Arabidopsis thaliana: one gene and its partners. The protein of the gene in region 2 interacts with the protein of the main gene of each other region in a pairwise test. Each region holds a gene or a part of one and is shown on either strand. Other genes may lie near its edges.

Region 1 (6,712 bases), on a different chromosome or scaffold from region 2:
TTTTAGAATCTTTTACTTGAGCTTTATTTGTTTCAATACTATATAGCCTAATTCTCGTATCTTCGGCAGCATCCGCTTGAGTACTGCAGTGCAGTTTACACACCATAATTCATTAAATACTAATATTTTGAATCTTTGATCTATTTAAATTCTCAGGCTCAATCGTTATCAATGGACGAGGACTACATAAATAGAACACTTTTTTCTCTTTGGACAAAGCATAGATAGATCACTTATGATCTTTTTTTATAATGAAAATTTAGTTATCCGGGACTAGGGGCGCTATAATCTAAGATTCTCTAGGCCATTGAGTTAGGAGAAAGAACTTAAGGAAAGGAACAATTGATAGGGATGCATTACGCAATGTATAAGAAATCATCTTAAAAGGATTTATTTACGTTGTTGCACAATATATAATTATATATAGTTAAAATATCATTTAATTACGCACCACCACACAGTATAGTTTAAATTCATCGATCCTTGATTTATTCATGACATCTTTCCAAAATCTCCAATACTCTTATTTAATGGTATAGACTCGATGGTGGTAGCAAAGTCATTATAATGTTTTGGAGCGTAATTGACTTTAGATAACCCTATTTTTATCCCTATAGTTAGATCTAAGGTCCTAATTAAATATCGATGACATCCAATAAATTTGGAACGATAAAGAAAGTTTACTGATTTGTTTCGACAAAGTCAATATTTCTGATTTGAGACAAATCAGAAACAAAGTGAATTTGTCAAAATTCCAAGAGCGATGGCGTGACGAATTGCGTGAAGAACAGCCGTAGCTTCAGCCGTGAGCTTCTATGGCCCTGATTTAAATCATAATTTTATAGATGAATATGAAATAACATCATGCTAGAAGTTAAACATAATAAACACTAGCGAACAAAAGCCACCAGCCACCTTCTGCCTTTTATGAAGCTATTACCTCCTCGTTAACCGAAAAAGCCACATGGCAAAACCATCAACATCGCATTCGTACTAACGACACAATTTGGACCCTTAGGATATTCTAAAGAATACTCTTAAAGCATGTGTTATAGACTTATAGCGACGCTAATTTGTTTTCGTATGTGAATTTCATTTTGATACAGAAGTACAGATCCGGGTGTCTTGAATTCTCCGGTTTACTGTGTATAACCAGTTTTCAAGGCTTTTTTTTATTTTTTAATTTCATTTTTAGGTTTCTCATTTTCGGTCATTCATGTCATACCAACCTACTGGAGTGGCTAATGAATCATGGTTCGATAACAATTCATCACCGACGAACTTCTCTGAAGGACCATGTTGACAAAAAATGTCTTGACACCCACGCAACTAGTAGACCTTTTTACTAAAACCTTGGGTCAAAAAGAGTTCGACTGTTTCTAGTCTCCACATTTCCACTTGAAGAGTTGTACGGAGACTTGAGATATAGTATATTTTTAAGTTATAGATTTTGGTTTTACTTTTTTTTTTGTAGCTATCTCAAAACTTGTAAAGAAGGCAAATAACATCAATAAGAAGATTATTTAATCAATGATTTTTAGGATACTAATGAATTTTTGATTTTATAGTATATATTTTTCCTTACATAGTTTTTCCTTTCCAAACACCATTGAATGTGAAAATCAAATTTTAGTCTTCAACATATTCCTTGCTTAGTAATGAAAGATAAGACCATCACATAACTCTTTTGCTATTAGATAAATATATTACTAAGCAAAATTAACTTTATAATTTAGTATGATTTCCAAAGAGTTATTTCCCAAAAATCAAGATTTGAGAGCCATGTGTTACAACTTTCAACTGCAAGATCTATATTAACCATTTCTGATTTTGGTTTCCAAATATTAAAACCATAAATCCCAAAAAATTAAATAATTAAAATCTCAAAGGGAAACTTGGGAAACTTCGTGGAAGTTGCCTTGGTGGACCCAATAAACAAAACTAATCAGTAGTATTTAAACAAATCATGACGCCATTTCTTTACAAAACAAACATAAAGAATCAGCAAAGCAAAATTCGAAGAGACACAAAAAAACCTTCGTTTGTGTCTCAGAATTTACAAAGTTTTGAGTCAGTAGAGAAATGGCGGGAATCGTGACAGAGCCGTGGTCAGTAGCTGAGAACGGAAACCCAAGCATAACGGCGAAAGGATCGAGCAGAGAACTAAGACTTGGAAGAACCGCTCACAACATGTCTTCTTCTTCTTTGAGGAAAAAATCAGACCTCCGAGTGATTCAGAAGGTTCCATACAAAGGTCTTAAAGATTTTCTCTCTAATCTCCAAGAAGTCATTCTCGGAACAAAGCTTGCCATTCTTTTTCCGGCCATTCCTGCCGCCATTATTTGCACCTATTGTGGCGTCAGTCAGGTACACATATTTTTCCGCTGTTTCATTGATAATACATTGAGAACATCATTCAAAATATTCGCAAAAAGAGTTAGAATACGAAACGCCTACAGATTTTTATCAATTTGTCATTAGTATTTAAGATATTTCATTACATCTAATCCAAATTACATCTAATCCAAATTACTAATTACCGGTTACTATTAAATTAGATTTGTAGTCATTGATGTTTTAAAATTAAACTTTGGTGTATCTTGTAACGTATATACATGTACATAATATATGGTACTAAATCGTGATTTTTATTACAGCCTTGGATATTTGGACTTAGCTTGCTAGGACTGACACCTTTGGCTGAGCGAGTCAGCTTTTTGACAGAGTAAGTATCCGACCATCATCTCTTATTTTATCCATTTACATATTTCTATAATTTGAATTCTTCACATTACGACATTTTCTTATCGATCGTGACAAAATTTAGCCAACTGTCGATAAAATGAATCGTATCTATCCATCTGTAGTTAAAAAGATCACGTTATATCAATACTTTTTTCTCTCTTTCAAATAAATCTAGTTACCAACCACTCATTGTAATACTTATCGTTGCTCCATAATACTTTCCACTAAGTTTGCAGTTTTTCCCACTACTTGCTTTAAATCTTAGGGGTTATAATCATGAAGATCACGTTAGTTAGGTCCAATTCCACCATAATTTATGCTTTTTGAAATAAATGGACATGGACCAATATTCTTTGGGGATTCGGCAATGCATGATTGGTTTTTTATTACAACCACACACAATTATTTGACACTCATATGTCAACGTGACAGCATAGTACAAACTCTATCATCTAATCAAGTACATTGAGATTATCTAGAATCATCTTATCAAGTGACGCCATAAAAAGTTTTTTTTTCGTGTGGTAACTTTATTATTCACATTCTCTCGTGATTCTCGTGCAGGCAACTAGCTTTCTACACCGGTCCTACATGTAACGTTTTCTTTACCAACTATTCTTATTCCAATCTACAAACGTTATTTACTTATTTTATCAGTAGAAACTCATTTATTTTTTCTGTGTGTTTTTGAACCGCAGTGGGTGGTCTATTGAACGCAACGTGTGGAAACGCGACTGAATTGATAATCGCGATTCTTGCTTTGACCAATAACAAAGTCGCAGTGGTGAAATATTCGCTGCTAGGTTCGATTTTGTCGAACCTTTTATTGGTTCTAGGGACTTCACTCTTCTGTGGAGGAATCGCTAATATCCGAAGGGAACAGCGGTTCGACCGGGTATGACTTCCCTTTTAACTTCGGTTCAACTTTAATTTCAAAACCAATAATATTTTTTTTAGTTAAGATAATTGAACCGGGAATGAAATAGGTTTTGTACGGCTAGTGTTAACCAGGATTTTGTTTAAAAGTTTAGCTTGATAAACAAGCAAGTGGTATGTTTGAACCAAATTTTAATAACGGATATGCTAAACGAAATCAATTTGTGTGGTCATTGTTGCAGAAACAAGCCGATGTGAACTTCTTCTTACTTCTACTGGGTTTCTTGTGTCACTTGCTGCCATTGTTGGTGGGATACTTGAAAAACGGAGAGGCTTCGGCTGCTGTTTTGTCCGACATGCAACTGAGTATATCGCGAGGCTTCAGTATTGTTATGTTGATCAGCTACATTGCATATCTTGTTTTCCAACTGTGGACTCACCGCCAATTGTTCGATGCACAAGAACAGGTAACTGAAATCTATACACACAAGATAACAGAAGAATGTTATATAGTAGCGATATATATTATTGTATTCTAATGGATCTTTGATACGAAATTTGGTACAGGAAGATGAGTATGATGACGATGTGGAGCAAGAAACCGCGGTGATTAGTTTTTGGAGCGGTTTTGCATGGTTGGTTGGGATGACACTCGTTATCGCATTGCTATCGGAGTATGTTGTAGCCACGATTGAGGTAACTCTTTTGAATTCCACATTGAAACTGACATGATCAACTAAAACATTATAGTAAATACACTTATCGCCAATTGGTTTTGAGTTGGAAACATGCTCGCTAATATAACGTCAACTTTGTTTAGGAAGCATCGGATAAATGGAACTTATCAGTGAGTTTCATAAGCATCATATTGCTTCCTATTGTTGGAAATGCAGCTGAACATGCTGGAGCCGTTATTTTTGCCTTTAAGAACAAGCTTGTAAGTTCGATTTTATTCCTTAAAATTATCGCTTTTAATCGATCCCGAGATCTATTATATAATGACACAATGCAAGAACTTATATCAATCCAAATAATTTCTAGGACATATCTTTGGGAGTTGCGTTAGGCTCTGCGACTCAGATTGGCTTATTCGTTGTCCCCTTGACCATCATCGTGGCGTGGATTTTGGGAATTAATATGGATCTCAATTTTGGTCCCCTCGAAACTGGCTGTCTTGCTGTTTCCATAATCATCACAGCGTTCACATTACAGGTTAAGCATTTTTCGACACCTTACAAAATTATTAATCCACTAGACAAATTAATGGATGATCCAAGTATTGAGGGTTAAATATTTTTGTTATGTTTTGTGGTTCTTTAGGATGGGAGTTCTCACTACATGAAGGGACTGGTCCTCTTGCTTTGCTATTTCATTATTGCCATCTGTTTCTTCGTCGACAAACTTCCCCAGAGTGAGTTAGTTTTCAAATGTATATGCATGCTATTATTAGGGAAAACAATAATTGAGGCATACAACACCCATATATCAAATGGAAATGCTTCATCAAATAAAGTTAAAACGGGTTAAATAGGTTCCCCCAATTATATTTATTTATTAACTAAGTTTTAACATAAATAAATGCTTTTCTTTATGACGAGTCTCTTTACTAATTTTTGAGTAATATCTTAATAACTAAAGTAAAATAGTAATAAAACTTATATTTTATTTTTTTAATTCAAAAACAAACAAAAATTATAATTTTACTGTCAAAAACTGCATAACTGTTGCTTCCGCCAAAACCGAAAAATAACATTTTCCGTTTAAACTGCGAAATTCTGTTTTATGTGATTGTAACTTTTATTGAAAAGTTTGTGAAACTACATAGGCTAGTGAAAAATAAATATCCCTGGAAACTAAGAGAAAATGTTGAAAAATGTTGAAATTCTCGAAGAAGATAACAACTCTCACTAAAAACATTTGGTCTTCACGTTCATTGTTTTTTCACAAAAAAAAAAATTCTCACAAAATCCACGTTTTCTTGCAAAAACCGTCAATTAATTGGGTATAAATAGGTTTAAAATTAATTGGGGTGGGTTCCAATTTAATAAGATTACTACATACTACATGCTACTACTAGATTGACAATGATAATTATTCCCTAACACCAAATTGTGATAATTTTATCTTTCAGAACAAAATGCCATTCACTTGGGACATCAAGCGATGAACAATGTCGTCACTGCAACAGGAGGAGGAGTTTTCTCATCTTAAACGAAGACAAGTACCAATGTGTTGAAACAAAATTTCCAAAGCGAGAGACAATGGAGAAAGGAAAACAAAAACCAATTTTCTTGATTCATTTATAAATATTGAAAGATTTGTCAGAGAGATTCCTGAGATTCAGTGAGTATTATTTCATTTTTCAAAAATGTTGGGTGTCTTGATGAAGATGAGTTTTGAGAACTTTATAAATTCTTCTTGTGGGTGGGTTTTGCAATGAACTATCTATGAATGTCTTGTGTCAAATGTTCTATCTCTTTTTATTAATGGTTTTATCATTTTTTCTGAGTAGTCAATACTATAAAACTATAAATAAATGGAATTTTTGATTTTCCTTTATAATCGAGGTAGAACATTGTTTCTACCAATAGAAATCCAAATTCAAATAATCATATATCTCATCAAGTCAAAATCAGACCTTCGGTGGGATTGAGAATGTCAGAAAAAAAAAAGGGTCAGACCTTTATTGGTGAGCTTTTGTGGGTTAAAAGCCCAATGAATAAGCTATTGGGCCATTTAGATTTATATCTGCAAAACAAATAAATGAAGTGAAGAGTTTGAATTCACACGAAAAACGAGGCTGCTTCATTGGTCAGTCCAATTCAAATATCAACCGTCAAATCAGTCAATCGCCGTTGTATATCCAACGGTTCAGATCTTAGATTCATTCACTAGGCCCTACTTTATTTACATCTATACCCTCTCCTAACGCTCCACCTCCAGAAAAAATTTTAAAGAACACCTGAGAAATCAGAACAGTGGCAGTTTCGTGAATATACGACTGAATCAATCTCTGTAAAATTTCTTCTTCCTCCTTTTTAGCCATTATCACTCTTCTTCTTCTTCGTTTTGTTTCTCCATTGTTAACCTT
Region 2 (3,500 bases):
TTGTCGAAAAGATGGGAGTATCTTTGGATGTGGTTGCCTAAACTTAAGTATGGTCATAGAGATTCTTCTGAATGCAAGAGGTTGGAGTGTTTTCTTGACAAAAATCTGCCATTACATAGAGCTCCGGTTATAGAAAGCTTCCGTCTTTACTTAATTGATTCAAAATGCACACCTGAGAATATCAAGATGTGGGTTGTTATAGCAGTTTCTCACTGCCTGCGTGAGCTGGAGGTTATTTATTCTTCATATCCGGAGAAGCCAAACATATTGCCGAGTAACTTGTATACCTGCAAATCGCTTGTGATCTTGGAACTCTGTGGCGAGATTCGCTTGGATGTTCCTCGAATGGCATTTCTTCCCTCTCTGAAAACTTTGCAACTTCACAGCGTGAGATACCTCAATGAAGACTCTCTTCATCGGCTTCTATCTAACTGCCCTGTTCTTGAAGATCTATTGGTGGATTTACTTTTGTCAGACAGCATGGAAAAGCTAACTGTTGTTGTCCCATCTTTGCAGATTTTATCACTCTTTATACCTCATTCTTATGAGATCGATGGGATTGTGATAGAAACTCCTTCTTTAAAGTATTTTAAACTTATAGACCATAACAGTAAGAGTCACTACTGTTTGGTTAAGAATATGCCTAACCTGATAGAGGCAGATATAGATGTTGAATTACATAGCATCAAGAGTCTTATTGGATCAATCACATCTGTCAAGCGTCTTTCAATATGTTCACAGGTATCATTTTCTCAACTCATTGTTTAGATATGCATTTGCTGATAATTTTTAATATTGCGCAGGCTATGTATGATGGAGGTTTTGTCTTCAACCAGCTTAAACATCTGAAGCTATGTAGATGCAAAGGGCATTCGTCGGATTTACTTGTCCGACTGCTCAAAGATTCTTCTAACTTACAAGCACTAGACCTTTCCGAAATGGATGTAAGTTTGTTCGTCAAACTCTTTTTTCTTGTCTGATGCACATTATGGTTTTAGTGTAATTCTTCTTCTGTTTGATCTGTAATTCTTCTTCTGTTTGATCTGTAATTCTTCTTCTGTTTGATCTCAGTATCATGAGAATCATGATATCCTTTACTGGCATCAACCAAGTACTGTCCCTGAATGTATGTTGTTGAGTCTCCAAACTCTCAACTTGTCGGCATATAGAGGAACACCAGAAGAGAGAGATCTTGCAGTGTATTTCTTGAAGAACGCTGTTCACTTGAAGACCACAACAATCAAGTCATGTGTTTTTGATGATGAAAGATTTGACATGTTAAAGGAGTTGGCACTTTCTTCTAGAGCTTCAACAACATGCCAACTCGTGTTTGATTGAGAGTATTTGATCACCAAAACAAAGCTTGTTCTTCAGTTCTTCCATGTCCCCGGGCTCGTATGGTTTGTCTTCAACCTGAAAATTTGTTTTCGTCAACCATCTTTTTCTATGTTTTCCGTTTTTTTTGTATGTGATAAAAACTTTATTCTATATGTTGTCCACCAAAAAACAAATTATGTTGATTGGAGAAGTTATATGATAAGTTTTAATCGTTTATGGGGTTTTATAGGTGTGTAGAGATATATACATACCTTGTGAATGAAGAAAAGAGAACTAGCTCTGTGTTGAAAAACTGAAAAGCATTTGATGCCCTGATAATTTCTCTAAAATTATTAAACCGAAATACTAATACGATCCAAGTGGAACCAACCAATTTCTTAATATCTAAAATACCGGAATCTAAAGAGTCGAACCAAACCGAACCGGAATGTCCTCTAATTTTTATTTTTAAACCCATGATTATGACATGCACTACCGGCTTAGTGGTGATGTTTGGCAACATGGTTTATTCAATTCTCACTCGCACTGAGTGTCTGTGGCTCATAAATCATTTACCTTTTCAATTTCTCAATTCCAAATCTAAAAGTCGTCAAAAATGGCTCTCCGATCTGTCAAAACGCCGACCTTGATAACTTCGGTCGCCGTCGTCTCCTCCTCCGTTACCAACAAGCCTCACTCTATCAGATTCTCTCTTAAACCAACGTCGGCACTCGTCGTCCATAACCATCAGCTATCGTTCTACGGTTCGAATCTCAAGCTGAAACCAACTAAATTCCGATGCTCAGCGTCGGCTCTTACGCCGCAACTTAAAGACACGCTGGAGAAACTGGTGAATTCGGAGAAAGTGGTTCTGTTTATGAAAGGAACGAGAGACTTCCCGATGTGTGGATTCTCCAACACTGTGGTTCAGATTTTGAAGAATCTGAATGTTCCTTTCGAAGATGTGAATATTCTGGAGAATGAGATGTTGAGGCAAGGACTTAAAGAGTATTCGAATTGGCCGACGTTTCCTCAGCTTTATATCGGCGGTGAGTTTTTCGGTGGTTGTGATATTACTCTTGAGGCGTTTAAGACTGGAGAATTGCAGGAAGAGGTGGAGAAAGCTATGTGCTCTTGATCCTGATTTCAATACTTGGTTTTTGTGATGATGGAATTTGATCTTATCTATCTATCTATCACCTGGGAAAAAAAATGTGATTTTGATGTTTCAGAGTTTGTGGTTGTAACATTAAGAGACATATATTGTATGATGGATTTAGGTATACAACAGTTGGAGTTGCTTGGAATTTGAGTTTCCTTTGTCATATGTGTTGGCCTGCAAATTTGTGTTGTTTGTTGAAAGGTTTATGTGTGAAGTAGTGCTAGTAGAATCTAAGTTTGTTTCTGACTAAGAGACATGAAGTCATGGGTTGTTATGCTCATTCATATCCTGATTGAGATACAATTTAAAGAAACTTAGTTCCAAAGATTCTGAACATTCACCGGTACAGTGTGTCTGCAAATGGTATTCTGTCTCACTTCAATGTCTAAACACGTTGTCTCAAAATGTATCGTTTGTTAGATACTCCTTTCAAGACATATGATTTAGCCTCGCATGTGTTCGTTGATCCAAGTTTTACCGGTTTGATAAGTCTCCAGTCTTAGCAATAAATCCAGACCGGATTCATGACCAATCGCAGATTTACCGGTCCGGGTCAAGTTTTAAAACATTAGTAGAAATGTGTTTCACCGAACAGGAAGACTTATCTGATAGCATCTCGTTGCAGTGGATAAATGGCAAAATAGTAATATACGTAGATTCTGCTTTTATCTGAACCACATAGTGCAGATGGATATCGAACAGAAGAACATGATATCGAGAAGACACGTGGCCCAATGAAAAAGCCACGCAGGCTCTGTATAGCCAATTGCAATCTGGTTTTAGATTCTCATCTCACAAATCTTACTTATACGATCAGTCTCCCACATTCACACTTCCACCAAACACCTCTCGTCCACATCTTTCTCCTTTGGTGGCAAACACAACGACAGATAGAGAGAAACGATGGCGTCGAACTCGCTTATGAGCTGTGGCATAGCCGCCGTGTACCCTTCGCTTCTCTCTTCTTCCAAGTCTAAATTCGTATCCGCCGGAGTTCCACTCCCAAACGCCGGGAATGTTG
Region 3 (3,222 bases), on a different chromosome or scaffold from region 2:
CCGACTTTGAAGCCATTCCTACAACACAAATATGCAAATCTAAATTCACATGAAATATGCCAATAAGGAAAGCAAAGCTACCTTTGTTGTCACCATCCAGGAACAAAAAGGAACACTTTCCAGTCAAAAAACAATTCCTCAAAAGAATCAAACTTTTTAGTGATATTAGTTAGATGCCACAAGTGCCAATGCCGTGATACCCATTTTCTCAAATCCAGTATAACACACAAAACAATCAACCAATCATGATAGGCCACCAGATAATAGTAACGCCAATCCTAAACATGAAACCGTAACTTTTTCCCGGGTAAAAAAGGGAAAGAACAAAAAGAAAACAGAGATCAGAAGAGAAGAAAGCTAGATTTTTTTAGATCAATACATGCAAAAGAATTATAAGAAACGTTTCATCATCATATAAACCAATATAAACCGAATCAACATGAAGATAAAAACTCACGAAAAAAGAAAGAGGGATTGAATAAGCTTCGAGATCACCGATTAGATATAGCTAACAAAAGAGCTTCCAAGTTCCAGATAAAGAATCTAAACATATAAAGAGAGAGAGACACGAGCATTGCCTGTTAAACTCGATGCACAGACAAAAACTGGACTTATTAAAAATAAAATATATTGATAACGTATATAAGTGTATGTATATGCGTTGAAAGAGAGAAAAGAATGAAGGGAGGATGCAGCGGCGGTGACGGGTTTTTGCGGAAACCGGAAAGTGGTTTTTTTGGTTTTACGAAAGTACCCTTCCCACTGAGGGACGTGGTAGTGGCAATTCTCGTAAATGTGAGAGTGTTTGAGTCCCTAAAGTAGAGAGTGTGATCAAGGATCCACGTCAGATCCGAATAGGATGTAGGACCTACTATCGAAAGCTGCAGCTAAAAACGCAGTGATATAGATGCGTGTGGTCGAATGCAATCTTACGTTACTGCAAAATTATTTATTTTATACTATTTTGGATTACGTCTACAATAATTTGTTTATTCTGTTTTTATCCATAACATTTTAACTTCATATGTTTCCTCCAAATCTATTTACCTGAATTTTGTTTTTCGAAATATATAATTTACCAATTAATATTAGTTTTCTCAACATCTACACTACCAAAGGATGCTACAATGTAAAATATTATACACAGGAACAAAATTAGCATATTTACAATTTAATCTGCACGATTGTTTGTCTATAAAATTTGAAGGATATAATCAATTTCTTCTTTTAGTTCCGTAGATTTTTTTATGATTCATTAATGAAGTTTAGACCAGAGATTAGGATCCTTAAAAAATTTGGATGAGCAGCTTAGAACCACTTTAAAAATTAATTTTGTACATCCAAAATTATCGAAACAAACTATTACCCAAATCAAAGATATTGCCTTTACTTCAAAAACTGATTACAGTTTTGGGTATGTTTTAGCACTATACCATCTTATTCTTATCATACCATGATCTTCTTGGAGAATTCATCTAATACTATTTTGGTCATAAATCAACATTTCAAAAAATATCCACGTTACAATTGTAAATTGTTATTACTTAATTATGTCTTAAGTTTTTTAACCACACCAAAAAAATATTAAATCATATACACAAACATTTTTCGAATGTATTTGTTATTTGATTTCTCACACAAATGTGAAGAAGTATGAGGGTGTTTCGATACACTTTTAGAGTTTGTTTGTTTTTTTGTAATTTTTTTCTCACAAATGTGGGGTGATGTTATTATATTTGAAAATTTGTGGACCTTAATGCAAATAACGCCTCTAATAGTAGATTCGTGAAGATGATAAGCTGACAAAACGACAGCGTCTAATATAGTTTCGAGTTTCTTCGACAGTGGCAATGTTTTCATCTTCGATTAGGTTAATCGTATCTGGGTTCCACCGGACTCAACCCCTAAAATCGCCGGTAAATTCTCCGAGCGTCTTCATCTCCGTACCTAAATTCTTCAACTCTGAGTCAAAATCGACGGGAACTGGTTCAAGATCCGTAGCAATGAGCAGCGTTGAGAAAACCGGGTCGGATTCTGGAGCAATAGAGAATCGAGCGAGCAGGATGAGAGAGAAGCTTCAAAAAGAGCTCGAACCAGTGGAGTTAGTGATCGAAGATGTTTCGTATCAGCACGCTGGTCACGCCGGAATGAAAGGTAGAACCGACGATGAGACGCATTTCAATGTGAAGATCGTTTCTAAAGGATTCGAGGGAATGAATTTGGTGAAGAGACACAGGTTGGTCTATCATTTGCTCCGGGAAGAGTTGGATACTGGATTGCACGCTCTTTCTATCGTCTCCAAGACGCCGTCTGAGTCTCCTTCTAAAGACTAGTGTACTGGTACTGTTTAATGTATCTTCTGTTTCTGTTATCAGAGTTTCTCATCAAACTCTGTTCGATTCAAAGATTGAATTTTTACCATCAAAGTGCTCTGTTTTGGAATTTATTGCGGAGCCAAAGTCTTCATTTTTACATACGCTTGAGGTTGTGTGTTGGTGTTTCTGGAATTGTGTGTTGGAACAAAGACACTTGCTTTTAGTTCAATTCGAGTTCTGTCTTTTCTAGCATTCAAAACTATAATGGTCATAGCTTGATGAATTGAATTAAGGCTCCATTTAGTTGAAAGTCCAATCAATGGTCATGTGTTTGAATTCTCAAAGGAAGCTCGATTGTGCCGTGTTTGTTAGCTTGGAGCCAAAAGGGTTGTTTTTCCATGTTTCTGTCTCTTTCTTCTTCAGATTATTCTCCCATTGTCATCAATGGCGTTTGCGTCTTCTAATCGCTAACGCTAGAAACAAAACGCCTTTTCCAATAGTCCATGTCACCTTCCTTTAGCAACAAATATATGTACTTTATGGGCTTAAACCAAATCTAATCAGTGATCACCTTTTTCTTTTGTGGGTAAAGTGAATCGTCATTTCCATTGTCTGGAGAAGCTAAACCGTCCCTCTTCTATACATCAACAGAGCAAGTTACGTTAGTATATGTCCGAAGATAAATAAAACGAAAAAAAAACAACTTTCCAAACTATCATCATTTTCACTACATTGGCGATGAGGGAGCTCTCGGAGCTTAACAGAGACAGAGACGGTGATGAAGAAGTGTGGGTCAAACACTATTCATCCAAGCACCAGATACTTCTCGTAGGCGAAGGAGATTTCTCCTTCTCTTGCAGCTTAGCCACTTGCTTCGGCTCTGCTTCCAATATCTATGCTTCCTCTC

What was found. The genes of interacting proteins can lie anywhere in the genome.
Region 1: the proteins of CXIP1 (region 2) and CAX1 interact in a two-hybrid assay, tested with the Arabidopsis thaliana proteins (one study listed by BioGRID).
Region 3: the proteins of CXIP1 (region 2) and AT1G55805 interact in a two-hybrid assay, tested with the Arabidopsis thaliana proteins (one study listed by BioGRID).

The regions. Positions count from the first base shown.
Region 1 is NC_003071.7:15,988,549-15,995,260, reverse strand, and holds CAX1 (cation exchanger 1), read left to right. Parts: upstream 1-1,975; 5' UTR 1,976-2,082; coding exon 2,083-2,367; intron 2,368-2,657; coding exon 2,658-2,725; intron 2,726-3,309; coding exon 3,310-3,338; intron 3,339-3,443; coding exon 3,444-3,640; intron 3,641-3,863; coding exon 3,864-4,088; intron 4,089-4,188; coding exon 4,189-4,317; intron 4,318-4,441; coding exon 4,442-4,558; coding exon of another isoform or gene 4,559-4,662; coding exon 4,663-4,833; intron 4,834-4,941; coding exon 4,942-5,148; 3' UTR 5,149-5,752; coding exon of another isoform or gene 5,753-5,832; 3' UTR 5,833-6,169; downstream 6,170-6,712. UniProt on the Arabidopsis thaliana protein: Vacuolar cation/proton exchanger (CAX). Translocates Ca(2+) and other metal ions into vacuoles using the proton gradient formed by H(+)-ATPase and H(+)-pyrophosphatase. Involved in ion homeostasis in association with CAX3.
Region 2 is NC_003074.8:20,340,805-20,344,304, reverse strand, and holds CXIP1 (CAX interacting protein 1), read left to right. Parts: upstream 1-1,840; 5' UTR 1,841-1,933; coding exon 1,934-2,455; 3' UTR 2,456-2,948; downstream 2,949-3,500. Other genes in the region: AT3G54910 (RNI-like superfamily protein), read left to right, coding at 28-741, 804-944, 1,072-1,338; LHCA1 (chlorophyll a-b binding protein 6), read left to right, coding at 3,383-3,500. UniProt on the Arabidopsis thaliana protein: May only reduce GSH-thiol disulfides, but not protein disulfides. Probably involved in the regulation of the redox state of the BOLA proteins. May act as Fe-S cluster donors to Fe-S cluster-requiring proteins.
Region 3 is NC_003070.9:20,858,067-20,861,288, reverse strand, and holds AT1G55805 (BolA-like family protein), read left to right. Parts: upstream 1-1,805; 5' UTR 1,806-1,850; coding exon 1,851-2,333; 3' UTR 2,334-2,679; downstream 2,680-3,222. Other genes in the region: UKL3 (uridine kinase-like 3), read right to left, coding at 1-16; AT1G55803 (ferredoxin-fold anticodon-binding domain protein), read left to right, coding at 3,054-3,222. UniProt on the Arabidopsis thaliana protein: May act either alone or in interaction with glutaredoxin as a redox-regulated transcriptional regulator, or as a factor regulating Fe-S cluster biogenesis. The glutaredoxin-BOLA1 heterodimers bind a labile, oxygen sensitive iron-sulfur cluster.